Lepisosteus oculatus: one gene and its partners. The protein of the gene in region 2 purifies or fractionates together with the protein of the main gene of each other region. This does not show direct contact. Links are inferred from orthologs where the notes say so. Each region holds a gene or a part of one and is shown on either strand. Other genes may lie near its edges. The genes, in order: Na(+)/H(+) exchange regulatory cofactor NHE-RF2, phlpp1, wdr48a and akt1.

The links.
Region 1: the proteins of phlpp1 (region 2) and Na(+)/H(+) exchange regulatory cofactor NHE-RF2 purify together in Homo sapiens (affinity purification with mass spectrometry; 3 studies listed by BioGRID and IntAct, with this or other methods). This does not show direct contact. The link is inferred for Lepisosteus oculatus from reciprocal best matches to the Homo sapiens genes PHLPP1 and NHERF2.
Region 3: the proteins of phlpp1 (region 2) and wdr48a purify together in Homo sapiens (affinity purification with mass spectrometry; 5 studies listed by BioGRID and IntAct, with this or other methods). This does not show direct contact. The link is inferred for Lepisosteus oculatus from reciprocal best matches to the Homo sapiens genes PHLPP1 and WDR48.
Region 4: the proteins of phlpp1 (region 2) and akt1 purify together in Homo sapiens (affinity purification with western blotting, with the first as the bait; 3 studies listed by BioGRID). This does not show direct contact. The link is inferred for Lepisosteus oculatus from reciprocal best matches to the Homo sapiens genes PHLPP1 and AKT1.

Annotation. Positions count from the first base shown.
Region 1 is NC_090714.1:2,507,288-2,515,006, forward strand, and holds the start of Na(+)/H(+) exchange regulatory cofactor NHE-RF2, read right to left. Parts: upstream 3,130-7,719; 5' UTR 2,511-3,129; coding exon 2,304-2,510; intron 185-2,303; coding exon 1-184. Other genes in the region: nthl1 (endonuclease III-like protein 1), read right to left, coding at 6,997-7,165, 7,418-7,523.
Region 2 is NC_090701.1:36,367,034-36,374,576, forward strand, and holds the start of phlpp1 (PH domain leucine-rich repeat-containing protein phosphatase 1), read right to left. Parts: upstream 3,162-7,543; 5' UTR 2,954-3,161; coding exon 1,192-2,953; intron 1-1,191. UniProt on the Homo sapiens protein: Protein phosphatase involved in regulation of Akt and PKC signaling.
Region 3 is NC_090701.1:35,350,156-35,358,300, forward strand, and holds the start of wdr48a (WD repeat-containing protein 48a), read right to left. Parts: upstream 3,166-8,145; 5' UTR 3,112-3,165; coding exon 3,064-3,111; intron 1-3,063. UniProt on the Homo sapiens protein: Regulator of deubiquitinating complexes, which acts as a strong activator of USP1, USP12 and USP46. Enhances the USP1-mediated deubiquitination of FANCD2; USP1 being almost inactive by itself.
Region 4 is NC_090703.1:17,257,819-17,265,333, reverse strand, and holds the start of akt1 (RAC-alpha serine/threonine-protein kinase), read right to left. Parts: upstream 3,158-7,515; 5' UTR 2,862-3,157; intron 1-2,861. UniProt on the Homo sapiens protein: AKT1 is one of 3 closely related serine/threonine-protein kinases (AKT1, AKT2 and AKT3) called the AKT kinase, and which regulate many processes including metabolism, proliferation, cell survival, growth and angiogenesis.

The DNA of each region.
Region 1 (7,719 bases), on a different chromosome or scaffold from region 2:
GCTGCTTCAGGATGGAGCCGTTCTCCTTCTTGCTGGGCGGCGGCCTGGGCGTGGGCCCCGAGACGGCGCCGCGTGCCATGTCCTCGCTGCAGGTCAGCCGGGCGCCCTTCAGATACTCATCCGTTTCTCTGTCCACCACCAGCAGCCGCGTCTCGCTCTCCAGGGCCTTGATTCTCTGCACCACCTGCAGCCGAAGGAGGACAGCGGGGGCTGAGGCTGCTGCGAGGCCCACTCCCACCGGGGTTTTACATGATTAAATAATTAAATATCATTAAATTAGGTACAAGGAAAAGTCCTCCTTCCGCTCTGCAGACAAATATGGAAAGCTCACCAAAAATACAGCATAAGGAGCAGTGGACCATTTTCGCTCCGAGCTGAAAATGTGTCAACATTGCTGACAAAGCATTCTTATGTCGGTATCTCCTTATGGGACAAAATGTGGAATATTTAGGTTTAGAAGTTGGCCAGAATCTGATACAACTATAAAAACAACAATAATTCCTGCTTTGGTTCTGACAGAACATCCAAATTGCACATTCCAGCAAAATAAAAAAGACCAAGGGTCTGTTTTGGATTTGTTTACTACAGAGGAGGCAGTTTACACCCTGACAAAATAAGGATCTGAGAGTAAAACGAACTTTGAAACTGATTAAAGTAAACCAGATGACATGTATGGAAAGCCACAAAGAAATGAAGTCTACTGTAGGTATGCCACAGTCTGCCACAAGGAGCAGTAACATTCTTGATTGAACCCACCAATTGAATTTATTGAGTCTCCACTTGGAAGCTGTTAATCCCCAGTTTAATAGGCCCTTATCTCCCCTCACAAGGGTGAATGACTCCAAAAACACAAAGCAGAGAGAGGAAAGAATGTAAATACTCCCATGGAGTGACTCTATTCCCTAGGAGAGTGCCAGCTCTTGTCTTTGATTCATGGGGTTTGGTGAGGACTTTAATATGAAGCATCTAATAGCTCATTTAACAAAACACCCTTCTTTAATGTGCAAAGACTTTTTGGGATTTCAAAGTTCAGACTATCCTTGTCATTACTGACAATAAAAAAAAAATGTCTCACCTGCTAAAGAAAACAGAATTATTATTTTTTTGTGTTTCTTAATGAGCTGGTCAGTTCACTAAGATTCCTGTAGACTCACCTTGAGTGCCAAGATGGCTAATACAGCTTTCTAACAATACTAACAGACAAATAAATGTAATGTATTCACCTATAATGTAATCATTGCATACTAATTTTTCACCTAATTTGTCAGACTAAGGGCTCATTAAGTTATAATTATTTTCTGCATTTTTATTTTGTGATTAAACAGAGACAGGAGAAAATCTCTTCCCTGCAAACCGAGTCCCAGAGCAAAAGAGGGAGCAAAGCAAGACTGATTGGAAACTAAAGTTTTTTCGTTGGACAAAAAAAGCACAGCACAAGCACTCCAATTGATAAATGAGAATGGCACCAGTTGTTAAACTAAAATACTACTAAAAATGCTGAACGATATACAACAACGTATATGACCTTTCAGTAATCCATACAGGTGTTAAAAAAATGTAACACTTTTTCTATGTGGCAAAACAAAACATTTTGACAATGAAGCTACAAAGTATTTGAGGAGTTACGTCCTGAGAACTACTACATGAACGATTATTTTATGTGCTGAACTGTCCCTTCCTTGGAGACAATTTCTCCCTGCACACAATGGTTCTGTGCTGGTACGGCCAACTGCACGGAGCAAACAAACACCCGTTTGTTGTGGCATCAGTCATTTGTCTTCACAATAACTTCCTTGGCTATGCGTAGAAATTGAAAGAATAAAGCATTTCGTTTGTTACGAGGAAACCGAACTCAAATAATATAAACAATGTCATATGATGACATTTATTTAAGAACCGAAAGCTTCCACTGAATTCTCTAGGACCTAGGGCATTCCCAATAAACCAAGCAGAAAGGTTTCAATTTACAGTAACTTCGGGTGTTCAAGCGCTTTTTAAAGGGCACACCAAGCTAAATGCAGTGCCAATAAAACCCAGAGTTCGGTTAAAAAGGTTGGTCAGATCTAACCTGCCCTCAGCTTTCCAGTTCATACCACCGGGCAGGTCTTGATACGCGCACGGTACTGCAATTTCCAACGTTATTTGGGCAAAGAAATGACGGCATTAGCGCAAAAAAGATGGGGTCTGGGCACAGTTTCTGGGAACATTGGCTGCTTCATCACCGTCACAAAATACGACCGAAGAAAGGTCTAACCAAAGGCTGTGGGGGCAACGGGATGTTCAGATAGTGTTTCGGCACTTACTTGGTGATGCGTTTCTTTTTCCACGTTGTCACCGTTCACCTCCACCACCCGGTCCCCTGCTCGGAGCCCAGCAGCCTCCGCGGGTGAGCCCAGCTCCACTTTGCGTATGTACTGGCCACTTTTCCCTTTCTCGCCGTGCAAATGAAAACCATACCCATTCTCCCCTTTCGTCATGAAACAAAGCCGCGGTTTCAGCTCCTTGGTCATGTTTGTCACCAGACCAATTTCTGCGTTTTCACTTTTTGTTATCCACCTGAAGACTACTGTCGTCCTCTCCCAGTGCACGTCCGCCCGACTGCTCGCTCGACGCAGTCCCTTTAAACTTGCTGCCGATAATTTTCCAAAGACCCGAAATGTGAGGATTATCGCTAGGGATTTTCAAAACATTGACCACAAAAACGAAAAACGCACAGGATGAAAGTTCCTTAGGTTAAAAGTATATCCACAGGCGTTTAACATTCTTTAATAACAAACCACAAGTGTGAGGCGTAATCCCAGTGGTGGTCGTCTAGAGAACAGCAACAGGTAACCGGTTTCCAGTTTGTTTTGCGTGTGTAAGTTTTTTTTCCCTTCGCTATTTTACGGAATCGATGGATTTCGCGGCATAACGGACTCCGTTTTTTTAAGTTTTCCCCCTTGTTGGGCTGCTGTCATTTTGAACTACATGAGGCTCCAGGCCATGAACAGAAACTAGCTCAAGCGCTCCTTCCGTGCTCCATCCGCAACACTCAGCTGGGGAATTAGGATTCAATTACACGACAAGGTTTAAGTAAATAGATGTGTCGCTTAGATCTGTTACAGCTCAACAGCACCACCGCCCTACCAAATGGCTGCTTTAAAAAAAAAATAAAACAAGATCTCGACATCAGTTCCACTCTCTGACCACTCTGTGAACTAATGACAGTCCTTTCAAAGATGTTATCCTAACCAAAGGCTTAAGACTTAACTGAAAATCTTTTGTTGTGGGTACTTTTCTTACCTTTGGATTCTTTTTTTTTACAGATGGATTTATTCTACATCAGTTTTTATATGTAAAGTCTCTGTTTTTTAAAGGTTTTAAAATACGTAAAAAGTTCGGACCATGCGTAAAAGCGCGAGCACTGAAATTCTTTTTCGCGATCACGTTCACTATTTTATTAATGTGCTGGTGCATTTCTCCAGTGACGTGACAGAAAGAACCATAATTTCTGTATTTTGATCAGGAAAAGCGCTAAAACACAAATAAGTTCAGCTGAGATCGCTTATCTACAATAAGCTACTGTATTTAGTGTAATATTCCAGTAAACTACTATTGCATTAAAATAACCCAAGAATTCACATAAAACAAACAGGAGCTATATATTTTCATGAGGGTAGCTGCATCAGCATGCGTAGGCTGCAAAGGAACAAGTAATAGGTTTATTCCATGCTGAAAAGAGAAGAAAGAATACACAGCGTTTCGGCCGTGGAGCCCCTCCTGAAGAAGGCTCCACGGCCGAAACGTTGTGTTTTTTCTTCTCTTTTCAGCATGGAATAAAAGGAGTCATATTTGTAAAACTATTTCATGGGATATTGTGTTATAGTTACTGTATCTGTACAGAACGTGTATTCTGAGGTAATGCGATTTTGAGTGCGTTTTTCTACCGAAAAATGCCATTTTGTTTTACGAATAATAGCAAGTCGTTTATTGTTATTAATTGAAGCAATTAATTTCGCTATGTGCCACTTTCTCTGGGCTGTTATTGCACCCGGGTCTCGGGGAAACGTGCGGCAAGTGTCAGCGACTCGTGCCTGAGGAGATGACTGGGCTGTCGGGAGAGCAGCTTCCTGAGCCGGGGAGTAACAGACAACGCTCAAGACATCCTAGAAAAATAAAGGTGCGGCTCTTTTCGTTTAGGTAAACTAGTAACTGACTCAGTAACTGACTTTTTTTTGCATACCAGACAAGTTAAAAGATTCTACTAGGTCGCTACAAAACTCAGAAATCTACTTGGTATGAAATGATCTCAATTTGCCCGTTGAACATTTTTAAATGAGATTGGTAAATATTATTCGAAATAAAACCTTTTTTATTTATTGTAAACTATAGACATGTAGCACATTATTGTCTGCAATGCCGATTTACAGAAGGAATCGACTAGAAGTTTTCAAGTGTCAACATCTATTACGTTTTGCTACTTTTCTCGTGTGCACTTTCGTTGGTGTACTGCCACATGCTGGAAAACACGCGTAACCGCTCTCGTAAAATGTCGACGTTACGGTAGGTCGGCGCACATGTACTTTTTTATCAGTTTCTTTTTATCTTTAGTTCAGCGGATACTAGGCCACAGGCGTTAAAATAAAACAATTAACCATAACAGTAACACAACAGATTTAAGATGATATAGGGTTACTACACGTGAAAAAATCAAACGCACAGAAAACATTTGGGGAACAAGAATAAGAGTCAATTTCAGGACAGGTTAAGCTATTTGAAAATCCCTCCCGGACATTGATTTAAGGAACTAAAAGGAAGACATGATAACCCTCCATACTATAACACGTTGTATACTGTACATACACTACAGACCTTAATGTACTTCTGCATCTAGACATCAATTACATGTAACCTACTTTATATACCATAATTCTGTGCAAATTAAATGAAACTGCTCTTTAATTGGCAGAACAATTGTAGGGATAGTCAAAATACCGTCTTCTGTGGCTCTACCATTCCACGCGCTCAATTTAAAAATATTACGGTGGTTTCGGAACTAAAATAAATGGGCAGTTAACGCTTAAATTGCTTTCAGAAGGCTTACCCGTTTTCACCCGAAGCAGTTTTTAATGAAGATGGTCATGTAAAAAGTTAAGCTAACATATAAAATCATAATGTGATGTTCACACCATGTCGAATAATTATAAACATATTTTAAAACGTACAAAACCAGCGGAAGTACCAATAATTCTGAGGTTCAAGGAGTCTGGAGATATACTAATGAGAATCAAATCTTACCATAAGGCAAAGCTGGGGATGTTTAACAAAGCTCACAAAACTATTTAACATATTTTAATTTTGCTTTAAAAAAATGTCTACCACAACCCCGTTTCTTAAATCAGATTATTTGCATGACCTTTTAAACGTCCATGTGAAAGCATGAGGTTTAAATGAATGTAGAAGTGTTACCATGTGCCATTACAAATATATGCAGCACGACAAACAATATAAAAGTAATACATCAATAATAAATGAATACATTAGCAGATAGTCAACTTACATAATTAACAAAGGCTTAACAACTGAGGTAATCAATTTAATCTTGGCAAATGTGGTGCAGAAATTAGCAAGGTAGGTGTTTTTTATTGTAATAGCAAGTTATCCTTATTTACTACAAAAACTGCCTGGTAATAAAATACCACAGACACATTTTCAAAGATAAGCCAGGAGCAATCAGTGAAGTACAGGTTTCTCTCCAATGTTTATTTCGTAGAAAGAATGATTGAAAAAATATTTACAGAGGAACAGAACATTGGACTGTAAATGACTGTTACTGTTTATTTTCTAAGGAAAGGATGTTTTATCAAACTTCCCTACAAATAGTTTTTTTTATCAGACACTTCAATTATAAGTGGAAAAAACAAACAATTTCCAAAAGAACAAGGAGAATCATTTGGATACAACGTTTTCTTCAAGCCAAAACAAAGAGTTCTGAGTTATAATGTGACACATAAGCTTCGTTTCCAATGACATCTGGCTTTTTCCCCACTACAGGTTTTTCGATAAAGATAAAGTCTTGTGGCAGCACTTGAAACACTGAACGAGAACAAACCATTACAGATAACTGTGATGATTAAAAACCTCAATGTCCCCTGGACAATTGGTATGAAAACCCGGGTCCAAGTGAGTGTGATTTTCGGCACATTCTCGGAGGAAACAAAACAAAAGACACCTGTAAACACCTCCAGTCCTGCAGCCCAACCCAGTTGAAACTGGCAATACTCCTTTATAAGAGTGCTACAGGAGTGGACGAGAGGGAAGACGTGGGTATTTGACCTCCCTGAGACTCTGTTAACCCCTCTGTTTCAGTTAGTGTAAGCCTCAGGTGTCTGGGTCAGACACCTCTGTGAAAGAAATGCCTTTGTTTCCTCCCACACCACATATCAGTGTGATACTGGGATCCAGTTTTATGTTTAACTGCTGCTGCGGTTTCTATGCATTGACTTTTATTCCTCATACATCTTGGTCCCTATAATACTCAACTAAACTAACATTCATCCATCTGCTAATCAATAGGTCAATATGGGATAAGTCACAGGGGAGCCGGAGCCTATCCTACAAGCAATGGGCACAAGGCGGGATGCTCCTCGGATGGGACGTGCAGAAGCAAACACACACACACACACACACGCCAGGGCCAGTCCTCCCAGAAGCTAATTCACACACCAGTACGTCTTAGGCAGGAAACCAGAGCACCCAGAGGCAACCCACGCGGACATGGGGAGAACGTGCAAGCTCCACACAGACAGCACCCCGGGGATTGAACCCAGGGCCCCCGGGGGCCGCGCACAGCAGAGCTCACCACTGCGCCACACGGGCCACCCTCCTGAATTGGCAATCAAAACAAAATCCACGTCCCCGATGAAAAGAAACAATTGGCTAATGAGGAAAACGTTTGGAAAACTGGCACGAGTATCCCTTGTCTTGAGATAAAAGGCAAATGTACGCTAGTAGACTTTAGGAGTAGGGGTCTTTGGAAGGGGGCTCATGGCTCCTCTTCTTGTTGTAGCTGTTGGCATAGGGGCAGCTGTCCTTATTAAGGCAGTCTGAGCACAGCGGGTTTATTGGCAGGCACACCTGCTGGCCAAAACCAACTAACAGCCAGTTGATTTCACTCCAGAGGTCCCTGAAATAGATTACTAGGATTAGTAAATGTCGGCAGAAGCACTGCTTCCAGACAACTAGAGAAGGTGGCAGAGACTTATCGCATTATTTAATTTGTGGCGTACCCAAAAAACGAAACTTTGGCAGATTTTTTTATTTTAGTGATCAAAAAGTAGTGAACAAAACTGTCAACCCCACAGAACACTTCTGTCCCTTTACAGATAAGGGACAGTAACTAGGCCTCCAAGCTGTGGCTGGCAAGCTGTGCAGTTACCTTGGCAACCAGTCTTCCAATGCGACTCTGGTCTCCTCGGGAGTCTTTGTGCTTTTCTTCACCCATCCCAGCCTGTTGGCGATCCGATGGACATGTGTATCCACTCCTGGAAGACACAGATGCCTTTGCAGGTCGGGAACAGAGAAGCGCGAGTTTGCTTTAAGGGCCCACGATAAAGGTGGACCGGAAAACATGAGTCATGGGACATACAGGCAGTCATCATCTGTCCCTGCATTTTACAAAATCGCAAAAAAAGACAGGAAGGGTTCTGTTTTTCTATGGCAGCTTCCCAGTCTCAGCCT
Region 2 (7,543 bases):
ATATTATATGACTGTTTTTATACATATATTATTTTCTAATGAACACTAAAAGATCAATCATAGCTAATGGCATCACGCAAAACGAATCTAGTTTCACATGACATGTAGGCCTAAAGGGATTTATTCTCCTACTTTCTTATCCCTCACCTTTTACAAGTGGATTAAATTAAAACCACAAAGCAAACACGGAACTTTGACATCGGCAATAAGCAATAATGGGCAGAATCTAAAGCAACCACAGCACATTTCAGAATACGTTCATAGTTAAAACATGGTTTCTGAAAAACCTCCACACACCCACAAAAGAGTCCTGCAAAGATCTAAAGTGGGATTACCTTCTACAGTTATTCTATACACTACTACAAATGGATGATCTTATTATCCATTTAAAAACAAATTTGGCTACACAAATTTAAACAGGACACAATTTCTGTGTACTCATCCATACAATAAACTATTCCTTCCGTGAATGAACTTTAAAACTCTTTTAAAAAGACTGGATCAGTGAGAAAGTACACAGAGCTCCAATGACATTATGAATCACACTGCTTAAACTTCCGGAGTGCAACATCACTAAATCCTTGCAACCAAGTATAAACTTTCTGTGGTTTGTCAGGTGTCTCGTTATTTTAATGTATTTAAATCTGTTTAAGCATGATTTTAGAAGACTGATATTTAACCTACACTCACACCAATAAATACAAGTCTTAAAACACATTCTGCTGGAATGTACTGAAATCAAATGCAAATTGACTTATCCTGGATTGCGTGAGTTGAGTTATTCAATACAAATTCCGGACAATGAAACTACACATCCCCTCACGTCTACACGGTCTCTTCCAGGAGCCAGCGACCTGCACCTGCTGCCTCCAGATGCCGCGGCGATAAAAAAGCCGATCGGCCACCAAGACGACCCACTGGCTGCCCAGGCAAAAGTTAATCTTTTATTAATGACAGAGGTACTGCAGGCGTCTAGGCTTACACTAGCGGCAGCTCGGGAAAGGCAGTGCTCGGCCCAGGTCGAACACAAACCTCGCCAAACTTAAAAACACCCTCTTCTTTCTGGCTGGGATACAACTGTAGCTGCCGCGCACAATTAAAGCTGTTCGTAACGGCCAAAAAATGCGACCCATTTAACTGCAAACACAACTGGCTATGCGACGTAAAAATGTTTCCAAATCATCCATTTACCTGCGTAGAAACGTATCATACAGCCTATCTCGGCGTCCATCCCTTCTTCCTGCACCCTCCACGGGTCTTTAAATCCCAGTTTAAAGAGGTAGTCATTCTGTATCTGAAGGGGCTTTTCTTCGGGCTCCAGCCGCCTCGCTGCTTCGCCGTGCAGCTGGACGTACAATGTCGGGGCAGAGGAGCAGCGGTCAGACCCCAACTCCGCTGTCCAGGTGGAGGTGTGCCTGGCGGCGCCCTTGCCTGTCAGGCTGGGCCTGGGCTGACACTGGCCGCCGCTACAGGGAAGTTTGGCCGAGCTGAGCGGGTCGTGTCTGACGCCTGGTCCCCGGTCAGCCACCGCTCCGTTGGGAAGCTCACAGCCGCACAGCCTGTTGCCGACTGCGTTGTTGTTATTCGAGATGGCGCTGCCGCTTTCTCGGGCAACCTGCTGCAACTCCTGGGCAATGGAGCTGGGCAGCTGACTGTCCAGATCCAGCTCGTCGGAGGAACTCCCGAAACCGTCGAGCCCCTCCGGTGCGCTGTCCAAGCTCGGGCTGAGGCTGGTGGACGTATCCGTACCCAGGATGATGCCATCGCTGAACGAGTCCCGGTGGTCGGCGAGCTGGGCCGCAGCGCTGAGCTCCTCGCAGGTGCTGCTGTCCACATCCGAAGGAGAGTTTGGTCCGCAACTTTCCTCTGCGCCGCGTACAAGCGCGGCATCGGCGGCAGGTGACATCAAGTCGACGTCGGCGTTTGAATTGGTATCCGAAGAAGGGCTGGTAAAATTCTTCCGCTCCGACTGCGGGTTTACTCTGGAAGAATCAGTCTCCAGTTGCTGCCGCTTGTGGCTCTTCCTGCTCTCCGCCAGCGGCAACCTCAGCCTTTCTGCCGGGGGGGATGCCAGGCCTTCCCTGCACTCCGCATGTTTCGCGGAGTTGAAATGACCAAGTTGGTCAGGACCGTCCGCCACTTCCACGACCTCCGGGCTGGCACTGGGGGAGCGCAGCCTCTGCTGGGCACCGCTGCCCACCCGTCTGCCGTTGCAGGTGCCGTTTAAGTCTGTCGTGGGGCTCCCTTTGCCGACCAGTTTCACCACGGCTCCTCCTTTGCTGCCGAGTTGGTTCAGCCGCCGCGCTATCTCCCCGGCGCTGGTTTCCAGTGTGCACAAAACTGGCCTGAGGTACGAGGGCACAAGTTTGTCGTGGACGTGTAAGCAACCCCGCTGGAGGTCCGCTCTCACCCATTCCCGATCTGCCGGCTGCAGTTGCATGACCTGACGGTGCCTCAGTAGCATCTTTCGATCCAGGCTCCGTGTGCTCAGGGCGGAGGACGAAGCGGAGCTCATGTGGCTCCCGGAGGAGGCAGAGGCTGAGGCTGCAGCTGCAGCCGAGAGATTTCTCTTCAGTCGTCTCCTCCTAAGCAGCAGTGAGTTAGTGTTACTGGCCAAACCTGAAGCACTCGTGGTTGCAGGAAGAGAAGGATTTGTACTAGTTTTACCAGTGGCCGCTTGAACCTGATGATTTCCATTGCTGGTTGCTACGTGAAGGAGAGGGGCAGATGTCCCTCGGAGACCCCCACTCTCCGCTTTCGACCCGCCGCCTCCGCCATCATCCACCGCCGCTGCAGCCCCACTACCAGCGGTAGTGAAGCTGGATCCTTTCTTCAATTTACCGGCATGGCTTATTTTGCCAGTTTCAGAGTCCGAAGCAGCTGTCCCGACCGCTGTGGAAGAGCCATCCAGTGCCAACCTGCCGTCCAACACCACAGCCCGCGCACTTTCCATTTTACGTGAGTGGAAATAACGAAGAAAATACACTTAATGTGTTAATTAAAAAAATAATACACAAGCAAAACTGCGCAGGCTGGCCACTCACTCCGGGTCTTACGCCATTGTAAATCCAGTTGGTTCGTTTCTTGCTTTTCTCAGAGCCGCTCGGCAGCTGCCGAAACCGCCATCATGGAGACTGTGGCAGGAGAAACTCAAGCGTAAGTAAAAAGCAAAGGGGGGCGCGTCAGTCCCTCATTAATTATAAAATTATATGCGGGAATATTAAATGAATGTCGACAGACATCCTACGTCAGCGGAACTCTGTTTATATTCATAAGGTGACATCTTAAAGAGGAGGGTCTAAAATGTGGGAGGCTGTTTCGAAAAGAGCTTTGTGTAAACATCTTTCGTTTTCCGACACTGCCCCCCTCAGGAAAGGTGGAACTATTCAAGCAGAAAACGACATATTCTAAAAGTCGTCAGAAACTTTCTATTTCGAAACCATGAACGTGCTGTGTTTTTTTACACCTGCTTTTCAATGTCTGCGCATATTCACCCGGCTGTTGAAAAAAAAAAGGCTGTAGTGTGGAGGTGTGCGGGTAGTAAGGAACAAGAAGACTTTAATCCCGCAAAAGTGAAAAGAAAGAAGAAATACGTAATGTTTCGGTTGTGAAGAGTTTTTCAGGTGTGTGATCGTATTGTTTTCATCTCGAGATCTTCTTGTTCCAATTGTTAAAATAAGCTAAAAGCATTCAGCGTTGTTAAAAAAACTTGAACGCTTGAAACCGCTTTGGTAAAACATTGTTAGGACCCAAACTCATACACTAAAAACAATAACGAAGACCATTTTACAGATGTGTGAATGCTAGTGGACTGTTACATAATATAACGCAGCGTTTGCTTACTTTTATCTTTTGCGTAAAGACGAGCCATTTTAGTGTTTTCAGTTGCAGAAAGTAAATATGTAAAAGCATGAATATCGGTACACAACTTGCTCTCTAAAAACCAGATAACCTGGAAAACAACCTGGAGACAACCCTGGAAAACTGGAATATTAAAGCAAGTACAAAAAATATTTTACGACATCCAGACAGCAGCAAATGTCGTAGAGCAGTTGAGCTATTTTAGCGGTCAAAGTTGAAAGTAGCTTTTAAATAACTATATTGAGGATTGATAGTCGTAAACATTACAGATCTTGCTCTGTGACCTTCCTGTACCTTTTGACAAAGACAACTGCAAAGCCCTTGCTGTTAAGAGTACATTTTGTACTAATATACTAGTATGTTACCAACATGTAATGTAAAACCTCAAAGATATAAAAAAAACATTACTTAGATTTACTTAACACTTTATGTGTTATGAATGAAAGTCTTTCTTTTGAAGCACATGCATTTTAGAATTGGTTATACACTGTCGGTTACAATTGAGATACTTGCATATGAGTAGCTACAGACAAAAAAGAATCCTGCTTCTTTGGTTTCCAGTAGTTCGTCGGTCTCAGTCTACTCCTGCCATTTCTTGAATGATACTCGTGAGGTGAGCATCCTTCCGGACCTCCACATGACCCTGTGTGGCATCTTAACGTCTGGCCTTATACTTGTGGCACCAATAAATCATACTTATATCATCCAGCTCAAAGTAGTCCGTTTGACTGACCTAATCAAACAAAACCCTTCTGTAAACTGTATAGTTTTAATACTACTTAAAGTTTTAGTAGTTCACTATATATCCAAGCATCCTTGATCTTTTTTTAAATCCCTTCTGCGAGTTCTTTACAGGAGGATAATACTCAATTATACCTCAACAGATCAAATATCGAAATACACTTTCTTGTTGAAATTAATCATTTCTTCGTTAAACCAAAGTTTAAAGTAGCCGCCCACATTTAAAGCTCCGTGAAGTTAATACTTGCGGCAGCCTGTTGCTCTCAAATACGTCTGCACTTTGGTAGGACATCACAAGATGCCATTTACAGTGCAGGTGAGTAATTGCTGCTGTATATCAAGAGACCGGGTGTCAAAGAATATGAAACCAGCTTGTGACTGTGGACGACGTTTTCTTTCTCGTGAACCACTTCGACCTGTTTAGGGACTGGTGGAGGTTGTTTTGAGAGACATCCAAACATCCATACGTTATTAGCAAGATCCTGGTAAGGATCGGAGCAGCACGGCCTATCCCTGAAACATTAGGAGCAAAGCATAAATATATCTCGGATTCCGAGTGATACTTTTAAGATATGCGTCAGGAGTACGTTTGACATTAGTGACATCTAGTGGTTAAGATGAGAAAGAAAAAGAAAATTGTTTTTCCGAAAGTTTCAGAACGTTAATTCTTCATTCTAAAATATTTTTTTAAATACTTAATTTTATATGTCTCATCTCATATAAAGTAAAAACACAACCTTTACCATTACAAAATAAATACAAGATATTTAATGAAAATGCAACGCTTAAACATATACTGTTATCAGTACGATTCTAAAAGAGCACAAATATAGACTTTCAGATAACAAAAGGCCCTTAAGCACTTTTGGAAGAGAATTCCAGCCTTGATGTATAAAAGCAGAATGCACCATCATCACAGATTAATTTAAAAAGGGGGTAAGTTACAAAATCATAGACAACACACTGCAGACTATAAAAGACATGCCACTAATGTAAACTGTAGTAATATCCTTCACAGCCTCATATGTGAGAAGGATAATTCATTACTGGATTCCAAAGGGAGCCTATACAGTAAAGTGATACTTAAACAGATGTTACCTACTTACTGGATCTGTGTATGTGCATTACTATGATGCATTATGTGCATTTTTTATTGCAATTGAAAAAATATCAGCTGATGACTGCCCCAGTCTACACAATTCAGTAGGTTGGTGTGTTCTTTTGACTTACCTCAACACATTAAGGAATTCAAGCACTTTATTAAGCACTGCATACCCACACTTCCAAATTAAAGGTAGCTGAAAAGCCTCAAGACACTACAGCAATAGTATAATGGCTTCTGTTCTACCGTTCAAAGCAGAGGACCAACTATCACCTCTCCTCTCCCTTATGGGTACCAGAGCCATGGTAGAGCACCAGGGTATAGCTGCTGAGCTGCTGTAGCTCTCTCTCCTACAGAGTCCCCTCTCTCAGCAGAGGAAGTAAATTTGGACAGGCCATCTGCTTATGGGAAGATCTGTTGGTGTAGGGCTGGGTATGGTACAGTTGTTTCTTCTCTTAAGTTGGTGAACCTATTTTTCCCATAAATTGGTGCTGTTTGTACCAGTTTTAATTCAAGGTGTGTGTCCTTGAGCCCTTCAGTCCTGAAAACCCTCTGAATCTGGGGGGCTACATTATATCTGTATGATTTTAATTTAACCGACATTCTTGCCAGATAAGATCACACACAGACCAAATAGTGATTTGTTGGGACCTACCAACATATAGGCCTTTGACAGTATGCTACATAACTGAGGTAAGAGACCCAAGCACACACCCTCAAACCTAGGGACAGTTTTCCCAGAAGCCATTTATTCTAACAGTATGTCTTTGGACTATGGGTGGAAACCAGAGCACCCAGAGAAAACCTATGCAAACACATGGAAAACATTCAAACTCCACATAGATAGCACCCCAGGTTCAGAATTTAACCCAGGGCCTCAGAGCTGCAAGGTAGTGATGTTAAGCACTGCTCCACCATGCCACCCCAACGCTGCAGCAATGTTGCTTAAGTTGTGTTTTTTTTGCTGATTAAGCTTGTGGTCCCTGCAGCCAGGTGAATGTTGGTTACCACAGTGTACAACCCATAAAAAAAAAAACGTTTTCCTACAATTAACTATTATATACATTAGTGCCATAAAATATGTATTTTAACACTGTTCACTTACAAATATCTTAAGATTTAAAAAGTAATGTCCTGGTGTCCCCATTTTGTTAACCATTATATTGTTATGCTTTTTAAATGTTGGTTAAATGAAAGCAGAGTTGGATTCAATATTATGTGACATATAGTATGTTACACTGCCAACATCCAGGCAATTAGCAAAACATACTTGGAAATGATTGGAATAATTAAAATTACTTTTTGCTTTTCATATAACTGTTGGAAACTGGCTATATGAAAGAAACACTGTGTGAAACGTAAAACTACTGGAAATACTAGTAATGCCAAAGACCTGAAGAGTGATGATCTTGAATTTTATTGTAACCCTTTTCTATTCACTGGTTTAGTAGCATATTACACTATAATGTTGCCTTCTAATAAACTTGGAAATAATATATCATGGATAACCTTGGCCTTTTTTCTCTCTCTGTGCTTCAACTCTTATTCTCCAAAATATGTCATGATCATCATCATCACATCCCGTTCACTTACTTAACTGTAACTAAGTGTAACTACTAACTACTCATTGGTGCAAGACAGGATGGATATATCCTAAATGGGACCCTAGTCCATCACAGGGCACACGTGGACACAGACATGCACACACTCACAGCAGCACCAAATTTACAGAAGCCAATTAACCTACCAAAGTTTCTTTGGACTGTGTGAGGAAACTCAACATTGGAGAACTCTAAATCCACACCGGTAGCACCCTGGGAACTGGGTGCTGTGAGGCAG
Region 3 (8,145 bases), about 1.0 Mb from region 2:
TTTCCAATACCTTATTCCAATACATGGATGCTGTGCATGCATCTGTGAGCCAATTTAATAATAAATTCATATGCTCTCTTTTCCAAACTCTTAAAACAGAGCTCCAGGGTCCATTCACGCTATTACTTTGCTCTAAAAGGTTTTAGTTACATTTCCATTACTTCTTCCCTGTCAAACTGTCTGTGACATTGTAGCTCTTAATCAGTTTGGGGAGAGAGGCCCTGTGCAGTGAAGCCCATTTCTCCATAATGGTCTGAGGCAGAGACATCCAATGAAGTGTAGTGTACATTTATTAATGGGCGCTGATTTTTCTTTCAAGAAAAAATACCCCTACAAATTGAAATACTGAGCAAAAATGAATATAAAACACCCAAAACAACTGTTAGTACACCTTGTCAAATGATTCTCCAGTTTCTGTTATGATACACACTTGCTACCAAACAACGGCCCATCTCTTCTTTTTTCCTGATGAAAACATTTTGCACTTAATGACCAGATAACTTTATCTCGACAGATAAGGACGTTCAGGTTCCAACATCCTGGGATACATTACGTATCGCAGAAACCAGACTCACCGCCTTCTCTTTCAGATTTCTTCCAGTTATTACTGGGGTTTTGTAAAGAAGGTGTAGAGTTCACAAATGGTAAAACCTCAACATGTCCTGGCCATGGAAAAAAATGAGTTAATGGCTTAGTGGTCAGCACACGCAATGTAGGGCTTCAAGAGATAAAATGTATTGATATGGTGAGAAGTGCTATAAACAGTCTCTTATCAGGCGTTTGCAATCGCAACAATTTACAGAGGCCTCCAGCTTTATTCTTTCACCTAATCAAATAAGAGATAGAACACAGAACAAAAAGATTTATGGAATGAATAATGTGTCTTGCTTAAAAAAATCCTAAAAATGTTACATTGCAGTGTTGATAGCATTGCACAAAGCAAAGTCAAATTTATCAGACGACCAGAAAACACACCAGTCAAATTAATTCAGAAACCGAAAAATCTTTCATATATCCTCCCTCTGCATGGATTGTAAAGATAGGTCTCCTAGTATTGTGCCATGAGGGTTCTGGCATTTCCTCCAGGTATGGAATTTTGGCCATTCCCCCAGGCAGCATTGCTCTTGGTCCTTTACATCCTTTGGTATGTAAAGGACCTTCAGGCTCACACCTGAAGAAGGCTCCACGGCCGAAACGTTGTGTTCTCTTTCTTCTTTTTTTCAGCATGGAATAAACCTATTACTTGATCCTTTGGTATATATTTGTGAACTGCTTTCTTGAATTTAAACTACAATCATTCCAGTGCATTGAGGTCAGGAGATTGATCCGACCAGTCAAGAACACAGAAAGCAGAGTTTTCTAAAAACACACATGTATAGATTGGTGCATTTCTTTTAATGCTCTCATTTTAATATACAAAAGATACATTTGGACTATTGCAGCTTTACTTGTAGAGTATAACACATACAAATGTACAGTACATCTGAATACTTTAAAGCAAGAGAATTGCTACATTTTACCACAGTAAGCACTTTAATCAGTCTTACGATTGTCATTTAAATCAAGTCCATGTCCAAAATCAAGAAAAAAAAATCTGTTAATGTCTTGGTTTCATTAAAACTAAAGGACAATTTAATAATGAAATGTGTACCAGACACTAAATCATTAAAAGACCAACTTTTCTGTATTTACTACGGTTTCACATTGTGTTTCTTAACATGAGTACCAAAATATTTTAGTCACTGTTAAGTATCTGTACATAAACTCCTGCATCAATCAAGTCAAACTCAAGCAAATAAATGACAGTATCACAAAAGACACTAGTAGTGAGTAATATTTCTGAAGAGATAAAGTCAGGGGAGTATGCTGCCTCTAGAAACATGCCTTTCCATTATGGAATCTGAAATAACGAAGTACATTTGGATCATACAGCAGGACCTACTGATCTAAAAACAGTAATTCCCAATCCTAGTCCCAGAGAAACCTTGTTTTGAACACTGAAATTAGTTGACTTTCTAAAAACTCAAAACTCAGCTCTATGCAAGCAATCATCTTTCAGAATTCATGTCATCTAGATGTACTGTTTCAAGGTGGAATTTAACCAATGGGTTTATACAGTGCTAAGAATATTTAATCTTAGACGAGTGCCTGTCTTTCCCATTTGTGTCTTTACATTGACCGATAATAATCTTCACTCAAACATCAAACAAATACATCAATTAGGGTTTCAGTACTAATGAAGTAACGACTAATGAAGCATTCAATTAGAACAAAAATGAGCAAGACAGGGAAATATTAACCTAAAACCATCATCTTCAATTAATGCCACCCTTCTGTGAATACCTGTATAATATAATATACACTGTTTTCATATTCATAACTGCACATACACGTATAAATACGTATCACAGATCACCTACAGAGACAGGTATTTTAACGAAACATACCACGATATGTAACAAATTTACCATTTGGGAATAATTCAATTGGTGTCACCTGGATCGAAATTACTGTCCTAATCTAAATAGGTTAAGGTCATCAAAAAATATAAAGAAAAAAAACTTTCGGTATCATATAAACCATATTTCGCTATTCAACAAATCTTAACAGATCTGTGTTCCGCGATTAATACTGTACATCTAAACACGGATTCAACGACTAGTACTGTGAGAACCATTGAATTAACAGCTAGTTGCATAGAACCGCCAAGAACCCGGGCCTTTCAAAATCTACCTTTTCTCACAGATTTAAACGAGACCTGAATGATTTATCGATTATGCGGTGATCAGCGATCCTTCTGGCTCATACGCTCAATATAAAGCTGAACCCCATTAGTCGAGCATTGCAATGCAGTACAGTTTCTAAATGTTGCAGCTACAGTACACTCATCCTCTAAGTGAACACCACCTGCCCTATTCCAGCCACATCAATGCAACTGTTCATACGAACGTCTTTTTATCTCGTTTCGCATGTTCTACACATCCTTACCCAGGGTCACTGTACTAAATTAAACCTGTACCCTTCACTCCACATACTGAGATCCGATGAAAAAACAGATTTTACCTGCACTTTTCTCCGCCCAGCAGCATTCTGCCTGTGATGAGCCGCCATCTTACATGTTGACAGCTCTACGTCACTTCCACCAAGGAACGAAGGCGTAATCTTCCGGATGGGCCTTGTCAATCAAACGAAAAACTCTGACGCTAAATGGGAGTCTTGTTACCATATAATAGAGAAAAGATGAGAATTAAACAATGCCATTAAGAACCCCATTCTGGAAAAAATATTAATAATAGATGGTCTCGTGATTCATGTCTCTCTGCGTATTACATTGAAAATAAAATCTGTAATTAGACGTGTAATTATTTTGCTATGAACTTGGCAAATCGTTTTCCTAACGAAAAAAAAACATTAATCGTTGTTGTGACTTCAATATATATCGGTGTGTGATTTTCGTAAAACAGATTATACGGTTCCTGTATCATAAAATAATATAAGAACAGTAGTTTATAAAAAAGGACGCTCGTCTTCCACCGTAAAATAACTGCGTCACTAATCGCAGATCTACGGTCACCGTAAAGTTGATTGGGGCGATAGGAGTGCACCGAAAGGAGACGCTGTACCTGTTCTGTCAAAAGCATGGAGATCCGTACCTGAACTATGTTTTTATTTTGCATTTTTTATCTAAATTAAGGGAAGTCAATTATGATATTTCTAGACAGGTTATAAGTCATCGTGCAACTAATGTACGGGAATACAGCACATTCATTGAATGGAGAAAGTACATAGTGTATCGGTATTTCCTTGTTCCATTGATAAACCCCAAACCCTCCCAGCTGGAAGATAATGGAATTACTGTTTAGGCACATTCTGTACGATCGGTCCAAATTATGTTCAATCTATGAAATAACGAAGGTGGCTTGTATGTTTAGATTTTGTCATGTAAAAGCTGAGATCAATATTCATAAACGTAGCATACATTTGTAGTGAAACAAATTATTATCTAGGTGGGTGCTGCACAGTGGTGGTGGTGGAGGGGAGTCCCCATTACCTGTAATGTCGAGGATAGAAGGAGAAACAATATAAGTAAAATAATTTAATTTTCAGAAGTTATTTTTTATGGAAACATATAAGGTTAGCTATTCCATCTCTTTTTATAATGAGTTTTTTTTTTCCAGTGGGGAATCAAAACATGCACTACAAAAGCTGAACTGTGTAATACCCCCAGGAATGACGTATTAACCCTTCAAGACGACTATGCTTCTTTTCCCACTTGTTAGAGTGAAAAAAATATAAAATTATAAAACCAGATTATCATTATATAAAAACATTTGTAATTATTTATCAATAGGCTTCCAGTGGACAAAAGACAAACTGCTTGCTTGTTATTTATACACACTGTATTATTATTTGAATGTGCGATACTGAAATATATACATTTTTTGTTTGGTCATTGTTATGTGATAGAAAAATAGTCACCTAATTATACAATTATACCACACTGAGTTATACATTATTACAATTCATTGATTGTTTTAAAACTTGAGTTTCATCATGGATAAAGCCATCAGTAAAATAGTAACAACAACAACAACAATAATAATAATAATAATAATAATAATAATAATAATAATAATTTCTTACACTTACAAAGCGCTTTTCTGGACACTCCACTCAAAGTGCTTTACAGGTAATGGGGACTCCCCTCCACCACCACCAATGTGCAGCCCCACCTGGATGATGCGATGTATATGAAATTATTCTAATGCCCATGGTTTATACTCATTTTTAAGTCCAGGTAACTATTAGTTATGTATTCATCAGCATCTTTAAAAATCAAGAATAAAACTACAGAAAATTAAGGACAGGTGTGTGGAATATGATGCACTAATTTAAAGGTATGGTGCCTAGTACAAAGTACTTAACTAAGGTCATGGATCTGCTGATATTTTAAAAAAATATCTGGTTGCCATCTGTCTATGCCCAATGGTCTAGCCATTCTGATAGTGGTGTGTGAGCAGTCACAGCCTTCTTAACTCTGTATCTGTTTTTATTTTGTCTTCTTGATTGCTCAGGTATTAAAAATCTGATATATATAAGGTACATTAAATTGATTCTAGTGTGTTTTAATTGCATTAGTCTGCCATTTTTAAAACCATGTTTGTAGAATAAAAAAGCACATTGATTTCTTAATTTAACACTCAAAATAAATCCTTTAGTTCTTGTGGCTAGCCTATTCCCAACCACAACAATGTGATATGTGCAATATGAACTCAACATGCTGTCCTATTATTCTGATTAAAGACCAATCCCTTTCATTCACATTCATGTTGTTTTCTGTATTTTCCTTTGGAAATGTCAGAAAGAGCCATACATTTTAAAAACATAATTCAGAAAAGAGTATCATCACATTAAAAAAGAGCAACTCAAATCCAGATGTCCTCTCACAGTTTATCTAGAGCAGAGCAGAGACAGATGTGCCTTCTCTTCCGCTGCAATGATCATGTTAAACACTGAGATTAAAAATTACTCTTTTTTTTTGTCTGGGAATAATGCCGAGCTGCATATTTACTAAGTAAGCCTGTCTGACCTTGTTATTTAGACCTAAAATGTTAAGAGATCACTTTTGCCAGGCAAAACAACATCTTTATGCTAAGAATTGTAGATACGTATATAAAAAACACACTATTTCTCTGTAAAGCATTCCATATGATGTAGACCCTACTTCTTGATTCCACTTCCAATATGTTATGTTTCTGCCTCAGACTCCAAACTCCTTCTCCCCTTAAGGCAGGTCTAGGAAAAAAGTTAAACAAGGCAGATGTTTTAATTCATGTTTTATTTATCTTATATATTTTGATCCCAGTTTTGCCCTGTTACTCAGTTAACTGCTATGACCCATGTACCAACATGGAGGAAATGAGGACAATGCTAGCTTTCTTTCAGACCAAATAATACTGAGATATTCATCATTCTACACACTGGACTAAAAATAAAAGAATGCATATAAATAAGAGGCAACCATTTGAGCTATTTAGCCTATTTGGTAGTACAGTAGCTAAATAATTTGATGATCCCCTATGTCTTTTTTTTAGGGTATCGGTTTTTACAATATGATTAAGTATTGTAGCTCACCTGCCTCCCACAAGGCTTTGTATAAAGACATGCCTTCACCTTAGTTACTGTTTGGATCCTCTGATTTGTGTTACAGTACCTTGCTAAGAAACCCATAAGGCTGACTTTGTCAATACCTTGAAGTTTTCAGTGCTTGAACCAGATCTCTGCATAGTTTGCTCCATTTGAAACTAAAAGGTTTAGTTTTTTTAGGCTACAGGAGTAGTACATTCTTTTGAGACTAGCTCAGCAGGATCTTTGTTTCCAGAACAGCAAGACCTTTTTAGTAAAGACTAAAAGTGTACAAAAAAAACAAACTTTCCATCCATTGAATAATATTTCTTTTGAAGCTTTTCCATTACTGACAGAAAAAAAAATGTTATGATATAATTAGCTGAACTTCTTAGCACAATCTTGCAATTACTGTAATATGGTGCACTAATAAATACACACTACATGCTTATTTTTAGAATAAATTATGAATAGTATTTTATTACTACATTTCAGAAAGAACTATATTACTTTTTATAGATATGCCATCACTTTTTTAAATCAAATACCGTACACTGTTTTTGACATATTATAACATAAATCCATATTAAAGTTTTATGGATTTATGTTATACTCTCTGCAAAAATATATAATGTACCAAAAATCTGGCTTTTTTAAATGATCTTCTACTCCATTCTAATCAGTAATAAAGTTGTCTAAATACCTCAGAAATTAAGTTCAAATTCAAAATACAGTTGTTGTTTTTTTTTTCAAATCAAGACTTCGGCTTTGGTTTTTAATTCCTCATCTGGCTTTTAAATTCCCACCCTGTATCACCACCTGTGACTGGGATTCCCCAAGTGACTATGCACAAATGGTTGAGTGCCACCAGGGGCAGAGTGAGATAAGTTGACTTTCTCGGCTGTTGTTGACACGGCAACCCCTTTGGTTTCACAGGTACGGGCAGACTCTCTTCCAGTGAGCACTGAACCTTCAGTACAGGTCTGTGTTGTCTGTGACACGTTATAAAATGAATGGCTCAAAGATGGCAGGTGAGAGGAGTCGAGCTGCACTTCCTCATTCTCTCCTGTGGCTATGGGAATTGTAGCCATAAGCAGAGACATGAAAAGCACAACAGGCAAAATTATTTGACATTTTATTGTTCCCAAAATGTTTTATTTTTCCAAAGTATGAACATTTCCAATATCATTTCCATTACCAAACATTTCCACTGTCAAACTTGTGTGCTTTTTAGAAGACTGTCACAGTCATGAAAACCACTTATGTATGTAGGATCCCCTTGGAGCTGTGCTGTAACCAGGGACAGTGCTCCTAGAAGCTTCTAGAAGCCAGTTAATCTAAAAGTACAGTATGTCTTTGAGCTGTGGGAAGAAAATGGAGCACTCAGAGGAAATCAAAGCAAACATGGAAAGAAAATACAGACTCCACACAGACTAATTGAACCAAGGGTCCCAACTCAGCAAAGCAGAAACGTTTAATTTAAATAAAACGCCATTATGTTCACAAAAAATGCTTACATTGTAATGATATCCTCATATTGTCTATCGGAATTGACTATCTTTGTGTCCCAGTGACACATTTTCAGAAAGAAAATGCAAGAATATCTGAAACAATGTAATTCATGAACTTCATAAACTGGTTTGTCAACTATATAACCTCTATAGTTCGTGATTACTCATTCATCTGTCAGATGGGATTGATTGTAACAAAAATGCATAATTGCTAATATATAATTCAGTAATTTAACCATAAGTGGATATCCAGTAAACTCATAACTGACTTTTTCCAAGAATCTCTCTCATCAACACATGCTGGGGAATCATAATGTCTAATCACTTCGCCTCTCACTTTACAGGCAGGTATCATACTGTTGATAGCCATTATCAGTGGTTTTCCTAAAGATCTTTTTATCCCAAAGGCATATGAACTCTGTCTTCCTAAAGCTTGTGGAATTCCATTTGTAATAACCTGCCAGGACATGCAGTATATCTTTGTCTTTGGTGTAATGTAGTGTAATTA
Region 4 (7,515 bases), on a different chromosome or scaffold from region 2:
GCTTCTAAACTGTATGACGGCAAAGCGACTGCTAAAACCTAATTAATAGTTTGCAAAGCTACAGGCTAAATATTACTTTGCGGGTATTTTACTTTTGTTATAGTCAGGCTACTGCTACATGGTAGTTAAAATCACTATGGTAATGGTGGCACACTGTACTACATTGGTGTAGAGAGGACAGATCCAGTCCATGTCTTCGACACACTCAGTTTGATAAGCTTATAGAGGAGCACTAATGTAGCACCCAGGCTCCTGGGATTTAGGAAGGACACCCAATTAGTTATACACGTGCATCTGCAAACTCTCCTAATATTTATTAATATCATGTGCAATGTGAATACAAAGGCCTGCTGCATGCAAAGTTCTCAAGGCCCAAATTTAAACTATACCAGGATTGACAGTATTGTACACCAAAGTCTCTCAGAGCTATCCCAGCATTCTAGGATTTCACAACAAAGAAAAATCCTTCCAACTCACTGTGAGTGATGAAGACTGTCTGGCCATTTAGTGAGAAGTAAATGTCATAATACACAACCTCCGACTGGGAGGTGAAAATGGCTTTGAACTTTCCAAAGCTGAGAAGGCAATTTTAACTGGAAAGCCTTGTTTTTAAATAAAAATGGGCAAAATTCCTCAGTTGGTCTACTCAACAGAGGAAAGAGGAACCTTTCAAATAGATCCTTTTTAACACATCACACTAACTAAAAAAATGCAGATGAGTACCTGTGGTAAATCCAGGTTGTTGTTTGCTAATGCAAATGAACTCAGCCTCTAATGAAACTGAAATAATTTTCAGGGAATGTAAGCAGAAAGCAGAGACACCCCGAGTAGGAACTCACAAAAGAGTGTGACTTGTGGTCTTGAAAGATGAAGAAGTTATCACAATTTCAATTGAAATAGCCTCTCAAAGACTCAGATGCTACATGTTAACATCCCTCTAAAGAGGCTCCAGTGTCTGATTTTAGATGTATAATGTAAGAGTGAATATCCTCAGTCTATCAGAAACTACTTTTTAGTTGCACTCCTCAGGTTTATGGGCATTCTCCAAATCAAAAAGGACTGTACAATTTTCAAATGACTGCATGATGTAAGACTAATTATGACACTGCTGCATCACCTTTCTGATGGAAACCTCCATCACTGTACCTCCCTGACTGATATTGGACCACATTCACTACATAGCTACTTTCTGCACAATGCAACACATAAAAGAGAACTCAGGTTTGTTTGTTTTGGTTTTTTTTTGCTTTATGACTATAGCTACTTTGCTATTTGCCATTAATAGGGTTAGGTTTCAAAAGGGATATAACTGATAAAGCAATAATATTAGTAAAATGCTGATGTGCAAACTGAGCATGTTGTTACTTATTTGACTTGAGAGTGCAGTGTAATTGTGGTAGAGAAAATTGTGCTACACTGCCGACTAAAATTTTAAAGAGTGCTCCATTTTTATGTTTGTCACGATAGTACGACGAAACAAAAAGTACAATCACAGAAACGGTTGATAATGTTCGTTTTTTTCTCACTATCAGATTTTCTCGAGATAAAGCTGCTGTGGATTTTAAAGCCCATTTGTTGATATTGGCAAGAATCCTTAGGTTCTCCAGCGTGAACTTACTACAGGATTGCCGAATAAAAAATGAATCAGACAGCTCGTTCTAATATAACAACACTTCAGTACTGCTGTGGGAGACCTGTCTTCTACTGCCCACGTGCTAATGTCATTTATCATAACCCTGTGATTACTCTTCGTCATTTCTGAAAAACTAAGACAATGGTGAATTTGCTATTTAGTAGAAATCTTGGCTATAATTTATCGAGCACTTATTATTCAACTTGGGTAACAGTCTATTGCAAAAACTGAAATTAACTCAGATTAAGTTAGGGTTCGAGATCGTGCATAGGCGTAAGATGTCAGTAACGTTTCCAGACAGCGCTTCATAAAACCGATTATTTACACTAAACGTCAGGCAGTAGCAAAACGTAGCATTCCCCCGTAGGACGTAAACATTTGCAGATATAAAGACAACTGTTTTGGTATTTGAAATGCATTGCTACCTAATTAAATGTTTATGGCGCCAAACCTTAAACATAAGAGTTGAGATATAAATATTTATCTAAATATATATATATTCTAACAATATCTTGCACGGACGGATCAAAAGACGTTCTTTTTTATATAAGAAACGCCAGTAAAAATGTAAGGCTGTTGTAAAAAGCAAAAGGTCTTAAAGCGACACGATCTAGAAAAGACCCAAATGCAAAGGCAATATCGGAAAATCGATTCCTGTTGCTCTGAAGAGAGAGAACAAATCTGCAAAACGGCCACTGAAGTTTGTCTTTTAAATCGCTTGTTACTGAAGCTGTATTTACTTTACTCAGTGAAGTGAGGAAACAAACACTGAGTGGACTTTTAAATTCAAACTGAGGCTTCGGAGATGTGCGTTTAAATTCAAACTTCCACAGAGTGCAGAGAAAGGCGAGAGATACAACCATCGGCCTAGACATCTCAGAAGCGATCACGACGGTGTACAATACAAAAAAAAATGACCAATTAAAAATCAAGAGAATTTTTCAAGAATTAAATTCTCAGCGGTAAAGCCTAACAGAACACCAAAGTTTGGGTAGTGAAGTAACTTCGTTACAAAGCAGAAAATAACGTAAAGTAAAATGCGCTGAAGAATTCGGAATATAGTACATATATTTTTATCTTATTTTGCTAGTTTTTGACTGGGCTCTGGGCCTAGCCAGGGCAGCCTGGGTGAGAAATAGCCGCATCCCATTCACTACAATGGGATTTTGCCTCTATGGCTGCATTCGGGCACAGACCAAAAGCAATCAGTAAAAATGCAACACTTTACCTGCTCCAAGGTTTCACAAGTGACTTCGGGTCATTATTATGGACGCCCTACGCGTTTTATTAAGCTGCTATGTCCTTCAATAGTCTGCAAAATTCTTCTCATTTACTCCGTTTCTCTTGCTGGTTCTTCCACTACACCTCCCAAGCCTGGTCTCTCTATTGCTCCTGTGTCACACAGTCCTTTCTCTCCCGGGTCCTAAAGCCGACAGATCAATGCTCTTTCACCTTATTTGCCTTTTCCCCAACTCGGAAAGGTTCACTTTCCGCCGGCTGCCTTGCTTTGTAAGAATGAAGAATGATGACTCTTCATGCCTCCACTCAGCGGGATTTAAGCAAATAGCCAGTACCCTAACGCATACACCACAACAAACGTTATTTAACCACCCTTAGAAAAATACATATTTGTGTAACAGGATTCTTCAAATCAAGTCAGCATTTAAAAGCCTCCAATAGCAAAGAACTGTAAACGGCAAAATTCCCCTCTAGCACCTAAAATCAGTTTATCAGGTTCAATAACAACACGCTGACTGTGCGCTTTTTAGCTTTTTTTTTACTTCCTTACCAAATTTTAACATCTAGTTTCACCTTCATTGCACCAGCAAATTCCAGATATGACAACGGTAGATAATACTTGGTTTAATCCCCCTAACTGGTCTGGTGGAATCCTCATATCACAATTTGTAACTCCAAGAATTTCCGACTGACTTTGGTGGTTAGTTTTTTTTTTTATTGACACCTGTTAATTTTTAACTAATAATCAGGACAGAACCTTAAATGTTCAGAAACATTCTAAAAACAGGAAATATACTGTATATTCACCTCACCACCACCATTCCACAAATTGACAAATAAAATGCATGTGTTGAGAACATCAGTGTGCTTATGTCATTTGAAGTGAATCAGACTGTAGATTTATTCATATTCTGGCTACTGTGCCTAACATGTCTTGAAGCAGAAGGAATTATTAGTTACCTTAAAAAGTTATATTTTTTTATTACTATTTCTCTTTGCCACTCCGGTTAAAACTATTTAAAGTACACACATTTCACATGCATACATGTTTCAGCTAAAATCTAAGAAATTGTATTTCACAGTCACACTGGTTAGGATAGAAAAAACAAAAATGTAACCTGAAACATACTGCAGTATGATGAAAAATATTTTATGTTTATGTCAGTTTATAGTATTTAAATATATCCACAATAATTGCATAATGGAACAAGTAATAGGTTTATTCCGTGCTGAAAAGAGAAGAAAGAAAACACAACGTTTCAGCTGTGAAGCCTTCTTCGGGTGTGAGCCAAAATGTTGAGTTTTCTTTCTTCTCTTTTCAGCATGGAATAAACCTATTACTTGTTCCTTTGCAGCCTACGCATGCTGGGGCAGCTTCCCACCCGAAATAATAATGGTTTGGTTTCTATGATCTAGGTATATTCACATTGTCATTTATAACCAGCAGATACATTTCTAATTATGTAGTGCAGATCAAGTGATTTTTAAAAACAAAACCTAATGATTGGAGCTGTCTCTTGGGTATTCACCAGATATTTTAATACAGAATATGTGAAACACACCTGCTGAAAAAAACGTTAGTAAAAATGTAATAATAATTGATGACTTGATAGCCTCTTTCTATCATTATTCTGCATCACTTCAATATTCAGAAGACACCTAATCCTTGTGATCTAGACATACAATTAATTAATTCAAATATGTCTCAGAGCAGCGCTAAGGCAATTAATTAAGCTGAAGCAAACTAATTAGTTGTGATTGTGAGGCTAGGGGAAGAAATGTTTGAAAAGAACAGAAGAACAAAAGCTCTGGTTTTGGAATTAACATCTTAAAAAATAGAAACCAAAGATTTATAGTCTCAAATTAGATAGTATGATGTCACATATGACTACATCTGGTTATTATTAAGTTGCTTTTTTGATAGTCAGTGAATGTAACAATTGGTGCACAGCTGTCTGTGATACAGTTAAAATGAATGAAAATAATGAGTATAAATCAGAACTACACTACCAAAAATACTTTCTAAATATGTATGTCACCTTTTTTGGTAACAGACAGTCAAGATAGATCTCTTTTCTGGCAACCCTAGTATCTGAAACTGCCCACACATGTAAAGAGCATCCTGTAATTGTGGGAAGTACCACCCCCCTCCCCCTCTAAAGTTATGCAGTGCATTTCCATTTTCAGTTTCGAATAGTCAGGTATTCTTAGAAGTAGGAGTCGTGTGATGAATTCGGCCAAAATGCTGGGTTTTCCGAGATGTGCGTCTACTCTTCTGAGGAAATCCCCTGACTGAAACGGTGACCAGAAAGCTCCAAGACAAGAGGCTGCAGTCAACAGCATCCAAACTCCCTTTTTTCTATTGTGCCACAAGCTGGAGACTGGGGTTGTACAGAATAAAACAGCTGAAAAGTGAGGATTTCAAACAACTCCAAGGACATTTTAAGTGCCCGCAAGCACTAGTCCTAATGACTGACAATGATCTTTTGAAGTTCACTGTAACAGATCAATGGCATAAAGACCCTGGGATATAGCTGACCTTCCAAATAAATAAAAAATATTGCTGCTTAGTCCTTAGTTGTCCTTCCTGATGGTTAAGCAATCTTTGCCCAAGGATATCATTATTATTTTAACAATTCAGTTTTCCATTGTATGGGTTTTATCAATTGTAGCACACTGTATTTATGTTAAAACAATGTTTTTTTATTTATGTTTAGGACACTGTTTCTATTGTTAAAACTAGGGCGAATTTGTCGGTTGCTGCAGAATTTAAAAAATATCAGACAGATGTGAAATTGTATTTGTTGTGACACACCGTTAGCAAAAAACAAATTTGAAGTGTGGCACTGAGAGAAAAATGCTAAACAGCATCACAACATTGTTTTTGATAGAACCAGTATAAAGACCAGGATAATACTTAAAATAGAGATCCTGCACATAAACCATTACACTTTAAGAATTTAACACTGACACTATAGTTTGACTTCACTATGATTCTAAACATACTGTTAACATGCTTTTTGTTTGGCATTAATGAGCTTTGTCATACATCCATCACTGCAATTCCACAGAAAAATAAAACCCTGGAAGAAAACCTGTCTGTCTGGCTTTGTGAATTAGTAGCTTTTCCTTGTGCTGGTGACTCCTGAAATCAGTCAAGTACATTAAAGGATAGAAGTTGTGCTTGACAACTAAGCAAAGCTTCCTCCCATAACTGGCAGCACAAGTGCCAAACATCAGCACTCTGGTCCATTCGGAACACATCATGGTTCCCTTCCTGCCACTTTTACTACATGGTCATTTTTGTACCACTGTGTCTCCCTCCATGCACATATCTCAGCTGTCTATTTTTTTCACTGTAAAAAGTATCACAGCTCCACATATAAAAATGACTATTAAGCATTTTCAGGGGGAATGTCTGAGTCAGCAGTACAAGGAAAAAGGACATAAACAGGGAACAATAAAAAGACAGGGAAGAAGGATAGAAGGAAAAATAGACAAACACTGCACACCTGAGTTTGGAATAATGGTGCCTGGTGCCTTTATAAATTCAGGCGTGTAAGAGTGCAATGGTGATGGACCACATCTGGCACAGGCTTAATGATGATCAAAAAGCAAACCACTAATGTAGGCTACAGCTATGGGTACGCTTTAGTGCAAACATCATACAACTGCATAGCAACAGCAAAACTACTGTCCTTTATTATTGAATTTTATAGTACCCTGATGAATAATTTGTGCATAAATGTTTATGCAGATTATGCCATTGAGCCACATCAGCTGGTTTGCATTGGCACCCAGTCAGTAGTGCAATCAGAGCTGAAAATGTAGTAGCACTTGGAAGCGACAAACATGATTTCTATTCTCACTACATGTTTAAATTATTTTAAAATGGGCTCAAAGTTGGAAGAATGTGCTTGCTTAAGGCAACAGCAGGCTTTTCCAAAGGGGTGGTGGCTATTTTTTTTTTGCTTTAAAAATCACTTGGTTCTGTTTATTCGGACACATTTTTAAAAGAGATTTCGTACTGCAGCTGTAGTAACTGTTCAGCTGGAGTTCGGCGATGCTGATAAAATGATACAGGTAGACATACAAAGCTGCTGTGCAAATTTATAACAGCTTACTAGTGTAGTGCCTCAGGCTTGAGCGCTATGACTTGATAGCAGATTCCATAGGAATGTGAGCCCTTTGTTCCCCCCTCACAAGGAATGTATTGTGGTAACACTGGTGGGGAATGCTATTGATGGTAACAAGAAAGAATGCATCTCCAGGAAGCCCATTCCCATGTGAGAAACCACACCGCTCGTACTCTGCCAGACCTTGGGCAGTCCAGCCCAGCCCCAAAGCACAACTGTTGCTTTGTTCGCCCACACTTTCAAGCCAGACAGTCAGTGTTGAAAATAAGAGGGTCACATTCACCAAGGATCGTGCACCCACAACTGTCATTTGCACCCATTTGTGTTATGGCAACTCATGTCTCCGTTGTATGAGCAGAACTGTACTTTGCATTTTGATTGATCCATTTTCTCACAGTGTCGTGATTTCTCTTCAGTGGCTTATAGTACTGTATGTAAACTTATTAACAAACTGGGTAGTGTCAATCATTCTGCACATCTATTTTACCTAGCTCCACGATTCTTAAA